Callithrix jacchus: one gene and its partners. The protein of the gene in region 2 interacts with the protein of the main gene of each other region in a pairwise test. Links are inferred from orthologs where the notes say so. Each region holds a gene or a part of one and is shown on either strand. Other genes may lie near its edges.

Region 1 (4,130 bases), on a different chromosome or scaffold from region 2:
AGGTTATGGAGAAATCGGAACCCTTGTGCAAGGTCAGAAATGTAAAATGGTGTAGCTGCTATTAAAAAACATACAGAAGTTCCTCAAAAAATAAAAGATAGAACTACCGTGCCATACCACTTCTGGGTACATGTCCAAAAGAAAAGGGAAACAGGATCTTGAAGAGATATTTGCACACCCATGTTTATTGCAGCATTATTCACAATATCCAATAGGTGGGAGCAATCTAAACGTCCATTGACAGATGGCTGGATAAGGAAAATGTGGTATATACAGATAATGAAATATTATTCAGCCTTAAGAAAAAAGAAGGAAATCCTGTCATTACTACAACATGGATTAACTTTTAGGACATTAAACTAAATAAAATAAGCCACTCGCAAAACAAAAAATGCCACTATTCCACTAACGAGGTACCTGTCATCAGACTCTTGGAAACACAAAATAGAATGGTGGTTGCCAGGGGTGAAAGAAGTGGAAAAAGGGATTGTTCAATGGATACAGAGTTTTGAGTTTTGTAAGATGAAACAGTTCTAGAAAACTACAGCACAATATGCATATAGTTAACACTACTGTAAGATATACTTAACATTTTTATGTGCTTTTTACCACAATAAAAGGTTACATAGAAAATGAAACCTGCGAGTTCAAACAAGTGAGAAGTTATTTTAAACCTGATTTTAAAAAAATCTTGAAGATGCCGACCTTGGCCTTTGACGTGAGCTTTTAACTGCTGTCGGCCTTTGCTAACAAAGCAACCACGCCTGTAGTACAAAAATAAAATATTCCTAAAATGCTTGAGGAGTATCTTCTTTTTGAAGCAGAAAATTGAACTCTATCTCTTTGTAAACACTGACTTAGTCAAAAGAGGACAGAAGGGAATGAATACCAGACACACAGGGATCATCTATGTCCCTCAAAACTTTAGTTATTTGGCATGCTGACTTCAGATTGACAAACTGACAAAGTCAACATCAACACAGATCCTATCCAAACTATTACAAATCAGAATCATAAATTCCAAATAAGTAAAACCCAAACTAATGACATCTATAGTACATATCCTCATTTCCCAGAATTTATAATTTTCTCAAAATATTAGAAATCAAGTCAAGTAGGCTAGCCTGACATACTCCCAATTCATACATTACCAAAAGTTACAGTGAGAACTGTGTTAACATCCATTTGTATGCACTGCAAAGACACACACTAGTGATGAACACTCTTACCTTCATCAAAGTCAGCATCATCCTCTGTGTGCTGAGGGAAGGGAAAGCAGTTGGTAATTTCAAGCCGATCTTCTACAACCAGGCCCAAAAGCACTCCTTGAACAACTTCAGTTCCTTGTCCTTCTTCTTGATAATGTTTGATTATCTTTAATACCACCTAAAAACACACACACACAGAAGGGAGCTTAACAACATCCTACTTTATTATTTCCTTTATTTCTAAGAAAATAAATAAATCAACCGTACTCACAGGTTTGCAAAACCACAAAATTAAATAAGAAGAATAAATAAATGTCTTACAAATCATTTCCTTTACCCTTACATAAATAATAAAGCTCACATAATCTTAATATATATCTGAAATTCCAGGAGTTTGACTATATGTCAAAAATGTCCATGTACAGCACTTATGCTCTTAAATCAAAGCTCCCCCATAGTCTGGCATCTAGGAGTTCCTTCAGCCAAATCAAACAATACACCCTCAACCTAGAGCTATTATTGAAGAAGTGATCCTGTTAACAGAAAGACACATAAATGACAAAACCATTAAAAGATACAGAGATAAAGGTCTCAATTATCTGGACACCTGAAAGCAGAGCCTTCTGACAAATTCTCATTTTGCCTTTCTCAACAGACCATCTCCACAGTCAGAGGATGCAACAACGGGAATAGGTACCCACACATATCCAATAAGAATCTAGTTGGTAACAAAGAACACAAACAGAGCAGTCTCCAGCACGATCTAGTTTTTCTCAATCGGAAGGATTTGAGGGAATGTGTTCTCTTTCCGGGTCCATGACAGAGCATAATTTTAAGGGCAAAAACTTCCCAACGCCATGCCCCCCTCCCAACTCTCTCCATCCGGGAGTTTTAACGGTTTATGTTTGAATTTCACGGGCGTGGGAAGAAACCAAAAGTCAATCACTCCAGCGGAAGTTCTAACGAACTCCTTTCATTGGCCCAAGGTCTTAAGAGAAGGTGGTGGTTCCTCCCAGGATAAAAGTCCGTGTCCACACACTTGGCCAGATTTCCCCTCTGAAATCCCCTTCCACATTCTGCATGGAAGTCTTTCTCTTCTCCTTTCCTTCTCTTTTCTCTACCTAAATAAAATCACCTTTCTGAAACACTTCTTGGGTCCAACATTTACTTTTATGCGCATACAGCACACCTGCAGGGGTCCCATCACTTATTCTTTAAGGGATAGGAGGCCAAGAACCCACAGCATTCTCTTGGGGGAGCTGTGCCTCGCCAGCACCCAAAAAAAAACCCGGTTACAGATTCATTAAACAACCTCTAATGGAATACTCAGGTCTTATATAACTCTCTCCTTGAATATTCTCATAAAGATAAAAGAGGTAACACAGTGTATGGGTGGACAAGCAATTAAAGTCCATAATAAGAATCATCATCATTAATAATTTTGTGTGTTTTTTTAGGTGGTTCCTACAACATGGGGTTAATATATATAAAGTGCTTTTCATAGTGCCTGGCACATATTATTAAGAATAGTAACATTAATATTTAATATAAGCCCAAGGCCTGAAGACCTAAAAGGCAACACAGTCAAAATTATAATGGGAAGTTCACAGAGGGAAAATAAGTTTAACAAGAAAATGACAATTTATTTGTACGTTATTGATTAGTGCTTCATTTAAAACAAATATATTATTGTTAGAAACTAATTAATGGGTGGGCCAGGCAGACACAGGGCAGGCAGCTACTTCTGCCTGCAGACTGAGCCCACAGGTCAGCTCAGCCACAGGGGTGGCAAACAAACAGCCTAGGAGGGAATCAATGTGGTTGTCAGCTAAACCTGCTCCCACAAAAGTGGAAATGAAGCTAAAAAAGGCAGCAGGAAAGGATAAATCTTCAGACAAAAAAACGTGAACAAAGGGAAAAGCGGAGCAAGGGAAAAGAGGCCAACATGGCTAACGAGGAAACTAAAGAAATTTGCCTGCACAAAATGAAGAAACTAAAACTGAGAAGAGTCCAGCCTCTGATGAGACCAGAAAGAAATAAGCCAAGTTTGATTATGTCAGAATACACCATGTCTTATCGGTGGCCCCTATTTCCCTTCTTGTACAACCCAGAGGAATACTGTTATCAACTATTTTGTAAACACAAGTTTGTGTGAGATACTGAATTATGGGAGGGTTTCACTGTCTTGAGTATCAGCTTAACATTCCATAGTTGGGGGGTTAGCTTTTATATCCTACAATACAAAGCATACTAATCGGCAATATGGAGTTACAGTTCTGCATTTAATGTCTTGAACATTTTAAATTACTTTTATTCCCACATTATTTTTTAGTAGAATTATTTCCTAAAGAGAAACACTGTTTTTGATCATGGCTCTCTCCGTCATAATGGTTGTGCACTCTGTAACATTTTTGGTTGTGGTAGTCCTGTTTTTCTAATTAACTTTGTTAATGTGCTGTGGAAGATTGAAATTTTGAGTATGTAGTCTGTATGCTATTATATTGTGAATTGGTGGGATCTATGTAACAGCTTATCAACATGCGAAAGTACTGGTTCTTGATAATCTCTTCAGGAGAATTTGCTTTCCAATTTTAAGCTGGAATGTCACTAGAATAACTTTTTAAAAATTACAACACATGGCTTTTTAGATTTTCAGTACCTATGTTCAGAATTTTGTACAAATCAACACAACCAATAAATCAATTGTGAAAGAAAAAAAAGAAACTAATGACCAGTTAATAACACATTACTGAACATGACATGACAGTCAATAATCCAATTATTTCACAGGTGCTACCCTATCATGTAATTCTCACAACAACCTTAGGAAAAAGGTACTGTTATACTCATGTTATAGATAAGAAAACTGAGGTAGAAAGAAAGTAAGTAAATGGCTAAAGGCCACACATCTAGGAAGTGGTA
Region 2 (4,638 bases):
CCACTTATTCAATAAAAACGTCCTTGCTCACTATGCTGTGCCACTTAGTACTTGGAGAGTGGCCACCTCTAACGCCTGTGTTCAAGCTTCTTTGCTGCCACGCCTCCCTCTGAACCCTGAGTGTGGGTTCCCCAGCACAGGGCCCACATCCTGGTTTTTTTCTTGCTCTACCCCCAGGACCACCCAAGGGCTATGCCATTTAACACTGAGCTCCTGCTCTGTGTGTTTGAGCCTCCTCGTTTTTGACACTGCTCTTTGACACCTGCCCAGTGACAAAGGATCCAACGGAGGAGCAGAATTTAAGAGACCAACATGGTCAATGGGAGGTCCTCTTATTCTCCTGTCTCTAGGATGACAGGCTTGATGGTGGGAGGGGCAGAGAAAAGGGTGGCCATCCTAACTCCCCTGCTCCAGAACCCAGTCCCACTCACAGCTGGGAGAGCTAAGGGTTTGACATCAGGACAGGATCCTGGAGGTCGTCTGGTCCAAGTGTCCTGCTAATGCATGAACTACAGCCCATACCTCCTAGGCAGGCTCACTGCTCTGTCCACCGCTGCTTCCTAAAACCAACAAGTTGATGTGGAATTTGAACCTGGTACTTCTCAAATCCAAGTCCTTCCTGTTGTCTAATCTGAGTTCCTCAGATTACACGTGGTCAATTTCATCTTGTTCTGCCTTCATCAGCACAGAGCATGTAGGGCAGCTCTTCATCACACACAACCGTTCGCAGGCTTGCTAACACCCCTCTGGAACCTCTGGCCGTGTCTTCCCGGTGTCCACCCTGACTCCTCTTGCTGCCGCATTGGCCGTTTTCTATTTTTGTTGTGCTGCCGCCCCACAGTCCTCTCCGGTATGACGGGTCTCCATATCCTATCCACCCTCCACTCCCCTGTCCCTTGGTGACTCATCCCTGAGCTTCCCAAGGAAGCCCCCACCCTCTGCCCTTTCCTCCCGCCTTCCATAAGTGGAAAATCCACCTCCACCCCCTATAGCAGGCCAGCCCCCTTCCTCCCCACTCTCCCACCCCATCCCCCCACCGACCAGTTTCCTCTCCAGGACCAGGGAGCAATCACAGCTGCCCCGACCCTCGCTTCCTCTGCTGGGTGGGACTGGGGGCTGGGCCCCCAAATGGGCCCCTGGCTTCCCCCTTCCTCTGGGCAGGGGACAGAGAGGCGCAGGCTCAGGGAGCAGGACTGACTTCCTCTTGTCCCGGAATGAGCGTGCCTGCCCTTTGCAAGCAGGTTTGGGTCTCACACAGAGGAAACCAAAAGCAGTAAGAGGGAGGGAAGGCAGCGCAACCAATCAAGGGCAGGGTGAGGCTCAAAACGAGCGGGCTCCCTGGGGAGCCAGAGAGAGGTTGAGGGTGATGGCGGAGCTGCAGCAGCTGCAGGAGTTTGAGATCCCCACGGGACGGGAGGCTCTACGGGGCAACCACAGTGCCCTGCTGCGGGTCGCTGACTACTGCGAGGACAACTATGTGCAGGTAGGTAGAGCGGGCACAGGCCTGACACCCCAGCCCTGGAGAAGGGACCCTGAGCCCAGCCCCAGGTTGGGCCTGGGGAGCCATCCTGACAGTGCTTGTCCTGGGCCTTGGCTGAGATATCTTCCCACTCCAGGCTTCAGCTTCATCCCAGACCGAAACACTTAACCCTGACCCCATACTACCCAAGCCCCCACTGTGCCCCTTCTTGCTCTCAGAGCCTCAGAGATGTCTGGGACAGACAGTGAGATTCCATCCTGTTCTCAGGCCTCACCCCAGGTTCATCCTTCTGAGTCCCCCACAGGTTGGTCCAGAGACCCAAAGCCCCTGCCCTCACACAGATGCTGGTGATCATTCTGTTTCCAGGCTGGCTCTGGGAGAGGCTTCGGAAGAACTTCCCAAACAGCACAGTGAAACTGAGATGGACCAGGGAAAGGCTTTCCCTGAGATCTGAGGAAGAGTGAGGATAAGGCAGAGTAGGCTGGGCTAAAGAGAGGGGGTCTCATGCAGAGGCAGGGGGATGGCCCACATGACTGCTGGGAGCAGGCTACCAGCAGAAGATGGGGAGGTGGCATTGTAGAACAGTTTGTAAATAGTGTGGTTGTCCTGGGGCTGAAAACATGGATTCCTGGATTCAAGGAGGAAAAGCAAGGCAACTTAGCCATGATGGAAATAACTTCTGTTATTTCATTAATCTGTACAACTACCTTGTGAGGCATGTAATTCCTATTTTACAGATGTGGAAACAGTAGCTCAGGGAGGTGAAGTGACTTGTCCAAGGCCACACAGCTCCAAACAGCAGAGCCAGGCATTCCTTTGTTTGTTTGTTTTTTGAGCTGGAGTTTTGCTCTTGTTGCCCAGGCTGGAGTGCGATGGCGTGACTTTGGCTCACGGCAACCTCTGCCTTCCATGTTCAAGAGATTCTCCTGCCTCAGCCTCCTGAGTAGCTGAGATTACAGACACGCACCACCACGCCCAACTAATTTTGTATTTTTACTAGAGACAGGGTTTCGCCATGTTGGTCAGGCTCAGGTGATCCACCCATCTCAGCTTCCCAGAGTGGTGCTGGGATTACAGGACTGAGCCACTGCGCCCAGCCAGATTTTTTTTTTTTTGAGACAGGGTCTCCTCTGTCAACCACGCTGGAGTGCTGTGGCATGATCATCGCTCATTGGAGCCTTGAACTTCTGGGCTCAAGCAATCCTCCCACTTCAGCCTGCTGAGTAGCTGGGTGTACAGGCACATGGCACCATGCCTGGCTAATTTTTTTTATTTTTTATTTTTTAGAGACAGGGTCTCCATATGTAGCCCAGGCTGGTCTTGAACTCCTGGCCTCAAGTGATCTGCCCACCTTGGCCTCCCAAAGTGCTAAGATTACTATGTGAGCCACCACACTTGGGCCTCCCTGACTTCTGATGCCAAGCTCTTTCCTCTCCATCTTTCTGCCTCCCGACTTGCTTTATGACTTTAAGACAGTTTATTTGTACTCTCTGGCTTAGATTTCCTCTGCTCCCTGAATTGCTTGCTGCAGGCTAATGTTATTACCCCTTGGGCAAAACTTTATTTTCCTAACATGTACTAACCAAACTATGAGAACAGGCACAGGGATCTCCTAGCATAATAAGAATGTTGAAAAAAAGAAATAAATGAGGAACAAGCACTCATGGGAAATGGCAGATTAAAGAGAGTCAGTGATGACAGCAGTTAAAACACTCTGGACCCTTCCTTTGGGCCAGACATGTTACCAGCTTGGCCTCCCTTCATCCTCATCTCAAGCCTAGTGAAGTCAGTACCATTCCCCTTCACAGTGAGGAAGCTGAAGTTTGCAAAGGTGAAGTCATTTTCCCAGAGGTCTCCAAGCTAGTGGTAGAGCCCATATTCAAACTCAGAAATCTGAATCCAAAGCCCATTCCCTATTCCACTAACTGAAAATGCTACTCTGGGTATCATTTCCATCTGTTTGGATGTTGAATGACCACCCGCAGATGAAGCAGAACAAGGCTTGGAAACCAGCGCATTCTTCTAGCATAGAAAGGCATGTTCCCGCTGGGCTTGGTGGCTCACGCCTGTACTCCCAGCACTTTGGGAGGCCGAGGTGGGTGGATCACTTGAGGCCAGGAGTTCAAGACCAACCTGGCCAACATGGTGAAACCCTGTCTCTACTAAAAAAACAAAACCAAACAAACAAACAAAAAAAACACGAGAAAAAATAACCAGGTGTGGTGGTGCACGCCTGTAATCCCAGCTATGTGGGAGGCTGAGGCATGAGAATTACTCTACCCAGGAGGCAGAGGTTGCAGTGAGCCAAGATCACACCACTGCACTCCAGCCTGGGCAACAGAGTGAGACTCTGTCTCAAAAAAAAAGAAAGAAAGGCATGTTCCCTCTATGGTCAAGGATCCAAGCAGCCCTTTCCATTCTTCCCATAACTTCTGCATGCCTCAAAGAGCTTCCACAGGGCTCTCATTTGCACACACAGTGCAGTCTGGGGTCACAAAGACCAAGGTCCAATTTCCAGCTCTGCCACCTACCAACTACAGGAACTGTGGCAAGTTTCTCCTCTGATTCTCATGCCTGCCTTCAGGGGTGGCTCCATGGGTTTAATGTAAAAATGTATCAAGGCATTTAGCCTAGTGTTTGCCCCTTCAGAAGAGCAAGATAAATGGCAGCTCTTACCATGACTATCGTCATCATTATCATTCATTGGAAGGATGGATAATAAGAATCAGTTCTAGGGAGTAAAAGCTGTCCTTGCAAAAATATGCAGGGCGTCAGAAGCCCTGACCCAGGCTGGGATCCCCAGACTCCTGCTTCCTTCATGCAGAACACTAACTACTAGAACACACAACCTGATACCTTTCCTGGCCTTTCTGAGGCTCTTTGGGCAAATGCCTAGGAAGTTTCTGAATCTCACAATTGCTGTTACATAAGGCCTGACTGACTCCCTTACACTCCCTCCCCACCTGCAGCCCTTCTCTCCCCACATTGCTGAGATGTTAGGGAACCCACAGGGAAGGCCAGGGTTGACTGAGTTTACAGTCAGGGTAATTTGCATGGCAAACAAGCACTCAGCCACAGAGATGGATCCCAGACCCTCGTCCCTGCACACCTAACTTTGGGCCAAAAGCAAAGCCAGGGGCCAGTAGGTGTTAGGGCTC
Region 3 (4,130 bases), on a different chromosome or scaffold from region 2:
GCTCCGCCCGCGCCTCCTCTAGGCTGCGCTCCATTGCCCGCAGCTGGTGCTCCAGCTCCGTGTTGCGGGTTTCCAGGTCCTGCCAGGAAAGGGTGGGCGGGGTGGGGGCCCCAACAAGTCACCGTGCCTGTCCGAGGTGTCCAGAGTCTGACGGCTTCATGTCCCTCTTTTACCCAAAGCCCTCCTAGGGCACCAATCACACTGGGAATAAAATCCAACCCCCCCAGGGATCTGGCTTCTGCCCTCATTTCTAAGAGACAGGGTTTTGTTCTGTTGCCCAAGCTGGAGTGCAGTGGCACAATCCTAGCTCACTGTAGCCTCCAACTCCTAGGTTCAAGCAGTCCTCCCACCCCAGCCTCCCAAGTAGCTAGGAATACAGGTGTAAGGGAAGCAGGTCCTGTAACATCTCAACTTGTTGGGCTCACAAGAAGTGCCCCCTGGGCTGGGCACAGTGACTCATGCCTATAATCCCAGCACTTTGGGAGGCAGACGCAGGTGGCTCCCCTGAGGCCGGGAGTTCAAGACCAGCCTGAACAACATGGTAAAACCCCATCACTACTAAAAATACAAATATTAGCTGTATGTGGTGGCAGGCACCTGTAGTCCCAGCTACTCAGGAGGCTGAGGCAGGAGAATCGCTTGAGCCCAGGAAGTGGAGGTTGCAGTGAGCTGAGATTGCGCCACTGTACTCTGGCCCCAGTAACACAGTGAGGCCCTGTCTCAAAATTAAAAAAAAAAAAAGGTATCCCCTGAACATTTCTCAGATAAAGCCTGTAGCAAAAGCCAAGCCAAGGCTGGGCGTGGCAGCTCACTCCTGTAATCCCAGCACTTTGGGAGGCTGAGGGTGGATTGCTCAAGGTCAGGAGTTTGAGACTAGCCTGGCCGATATGGTAAAACCCCATCTCTACTAAAAATACAAAAAATTAGCCAGGCATGGTAGCACACACCTGTAATCCCAGCTACTGAGGAGGCTGAGTTAGGAGAATCGCTTGAACCTGGGAGGTGGAGGTTGCAGTGAGCCAAGATTGCGCCACTGCACTCCAGCCTGGGCGACAGAGTGAGACTCCATCTCGAAGAAAAAACAAAAAAAGCCAAGCCACACCTGGTTCCAGTGCAGGCTCTGTGATTTCCGGCTGAGAACAGGAGGAAATGACAGGGTCTGGCGTGGGAATGCAGCCGGGACTCGAGATTGCCTGCTGAACCCACTGTTCACACAGCGCCTGCCGGCCATCAGGCCTGGCGCGGGCCTGGGACTCCCAATACTACTTTATCATCTTAGGTAGATCGTCCCAATTGTCTGTTGAGGTGATGGTCACCCACCTTCACCCCACCTCCTGGCGCCCACACACACCTGCACCTTCTGCTGAGTCTCCTCGCGCTCGGCAGCCTCTGGGGCTTCTCGGGGCCCCCCAGTCTGACTCTTCAGGGTCTGGATCTCCTAGAGGAAAAGAGTTCCCAGGGTCTGTTCTGGGGGTCCTGGCTTTCCCTCTGGAGGTGAGGGAGGACGAGGCCCGGGAACCATACTTGGCGCTCACCTGGTCCTTGGTTTGCACCAGAGCTTCCAGCTGCTCCAGTGACTGGCCCTGGCCCGGCCCCTCCTTCTCACTGGCTGGGGTCACCTCTGAAGCTGCCTGGGCCTCCAGCTCAGCCACCTGTGGGACAGGAATAGCAGCCCCTACCACCCCTGCCTGCACTCTCCCTTGCTCCCCCAACCTCTAGGGACTCTGCCTCCTGTCCAGCCACATCCAGGACCGAGCACCCAACTCCCTTGGTTGGTGGCACCTCCCCCACTCACGTAGCTTGGACTTTAGGGTCTGATCACCCTCTGAAGTTGGCATTGTCTCACACGCATTTTACAGAGCAAGGAACTGGGGCTGGGACAGTGACCTGCTGAGGTCACCCGGCCAGTCCATGCACCCAGGGCAGATGGGACTGGCAGAGGCGTGGGCTCCACAGTTGCCCGGGTCAGGTGGGGGGCTCTCTTTGGGAGGGGGTGCCCTTACCCGCTGCCGCAGCCGCTCAGCCTCTGCACGCTGAGCCTCCAGCTGCTGCCTCCACTGGGCTGCGGCTGCGTTGGCCTCCCGCAGGGCGCCTGCCAGCTTGTTGTTGCTGTCCTGCAGCGCGAAGAACTCGGCCTCCCACTGTACCTCGCCCACGGAGCTGCAGAAACGCAAGGGTCGGCAGGGGGTGACATGGGGCTAGAGCGGGGGCAGTCAGAGGGCAATGCTGGGGTTGGGATCGGGCCAGGGGTTGGGATCGGGGCCAGGGGTTGGGATGGCTCTGGGCTTGGGTGAGGACGAAGCTTGGAGAGGGTGTGAGGTTGAACTAGGGCGCAGGGCCAGGGTGGGGTGGCACTGACCTGGGGGTGGAGTCAGTGGCGATGCTCCACTAGGGGGCGGGGCCAGAGGTGGGTGGTGTGGGCTGGTGCGTGGCCAGGCGCGAGATTGGGCTGGGGGTGGTGTCAAGGACAATGCTGGGTAGGGGGCAGGGCCAAGGGTGGGGTGGCGTAGGGCCAGGGGATGGACTCAGGGCCACGGTGTGCTGGGGACGTGGCGACACTGGGCTGGGCTAGGAGCGCAGCCAAAATAGTGCGAAGCTTGGGGATGGGGCAGTCCCGAAGAGGCGGGGTCTTGTCAGGGACCTGGTCAAAGAAGTGGGCACATGGGGTCCGCCCAGTAACACTGTCGGGATGGCAGAGGAGGGTTGGGAGGTTGAGGAGAGTCAGCCAAGGGGGGCGTGGTCGGGGTGGGGAGGCGCCCCAGGTTTATCCTAAGCCCGAGAGGCATGGATGGGGCGAGGTTATCAGCCAGGAGACAGGGACCGGTTCAATACAGACCGGCCTGCCAAAGCCGTGGGCGGGGTCGGCTCTGGATGGAGCAGCAGCGGGATCAGCTCCTCCCCTTTCCCAGGTCTTGGGTCCACAGTTAGATCCCGCAGTCCCTGGCACTCCCTTGGCTTTCGAGAACCGCCTCCAAGTCCCGCATCCCCACCCCGTCCCCTGCCGCGCCCCAAGCCCCGCCCCTCACCCCTCGGACAGCATCTTCTTGAGTCGCTCGCGCTCTGTGGGGCCGGGGGCGTCAGCGCTCTGACTGCGGAACAGTTTCTCCTCACCCGGGCCGTTGGCACTGACGAGGGGACTCGGGGGCACCTGTGCACGGGGAAAAGAGCAGGTCACGATGAGTAGTAGCTTCTGTCAGTGGCTGGGATCAAGGCTGATGTGACCGGGGTCGTCACATCAGGGGGTCCAACTGACCTATGCACCCTAAGCAGGTCCTTCACAGCACCGGATCCGAATGTGTCCCTCCCCATCTCACCCACCCTCCATGGCTCCCTGTGGCCCCTAGGCTGAGAGTTCCAGGCCCATGCCCTCAGCCTTGCCTTCCTGGGGTTTCACCACCCCTAGGAGCAAGTCTGATGCAGGTTAGTCTAAACCAAGATACTTAGAACCTCCAAGGTAGGGGAGAGGGACAATCGGACAGCTCCATGCTGTTCCCTTCCCTGTTCTGTTCCCTGTGGCCCGTTTAGGATTTCAGCAGGAAGCCCTGCCCAGGCTGAATTTGTGTTTCATGAGCCACCCCAAAGCCTGGACCGCTGGCTCTGAGGGTAGAGTTCAGCCTGTTTTTCTAAATCTCTGCAACCCCTGTGCACAGCCCTGGGCCTGGTACACAGCAGGCGCTCAATAAATGATGCTGAATAAATTAATGTGGGAAAACACACAGGGCCAGTTCATTGCTGTGCCTCACACTTAGCCATTTCTTTCTGTCACACTGTGTCACCAGGCTGGAGTACAGTGGCATGATCTGGGCTGACTGCAACCTCCACTTCCTGGGTTCAAGCAATTCTCCTGCCTCAGCCTCCCAAGTAGCTGGGATTACAGGTGCACGCCGACACGCCTGGCTAATTTTTGTATTTGTTAGTAGAGATGGGGTTTCACCATGTTGGCCAGGCTGGTCTCAAACTCCTGGACTCAAGCGATCCTCCCACCTTGGCCTCCAAAATTGCTGGGATTATAGGCATAAGCCACTGCGCCTGGCCACACTTAGCTATTTCAATTTCTAGTCTTCCATTCTGCCATCTGAGCTGGTTTTGCTACTGGGACCTACTGGGTGCCCCCTGCCGACCCCAGGCAA

Evidence for each region. The genes of interacting proteins can lie anywhere in the genome.
Region 1: the proteins of ABI3 (region 2) and EIF3H interact in binary tests that used the Homo sapiens proteins (3 or more experiments, as listed by UniProt). The two-hybrid records come from large-scale screens. The link is inferred for Callithrix jacchus from reciprocal best matches to the Homo sapiens genes ABI3 and EIF3H.
Region 3: the proteins of ABI3 (region 2) and HOMER3 interact in binary tests that used the Homo sapiens proteins (3 or more experiments, as listed by UniProt). The two-hybrid records come from large-scale screens. The link is inferred for Callithrix jacchus from reciprocal best matches to the Homo sapiens genes ABI3 and HOMER3.

Annotation. Positions count from the first base shown.
Region 1 is NC_133517.1:80,710,572-80,714,701, reverse strand, and holds part of EIF3H (eukaryotic translation initiation factor 3 subunit H), read right to left. Parts: intron 1,387-4,130; coding exon 1,230-1,386; intron 1-1,229.
Region 2 is NC_133506.1:117,093,634-117,098,271, reverse strand, and holds the start of ABI3 (ABI gene family member 3), read left to right. Parts: upstream 1-1,348; 5' UTR 1,349-1,366; coding exon 1,367-1,483; intron 1,484-4,638. UniProt on the Homo sapiens protein: May inhibit tumor metastasis. In vitro, reduces cell motility.
Region 3 is NC_133523.1:17,623,267-17,627,396, forward strand, and holds part of HOMER3 (homer protein homolog 3), read right to left. Parts: intron 3,149-4,130; coding exon 3,027-3,148; intron 2,161-3,026; coding exon 2,004-2,160; intron 1,653-2,003; coding exon 1,536-1,652; intron 1,439-1,535; coding exon 1,352-1,438; intron 80-1,351; coding exon 1-79. UniProt on the Homo sapiens protein: Postsynaptic density scaffolding protein. Binds and cross-links cytoplasmic regions of GRM1, GRM5, ITPR1, DNM3, RYR1, RYR2, SHANK1 and SHANK3.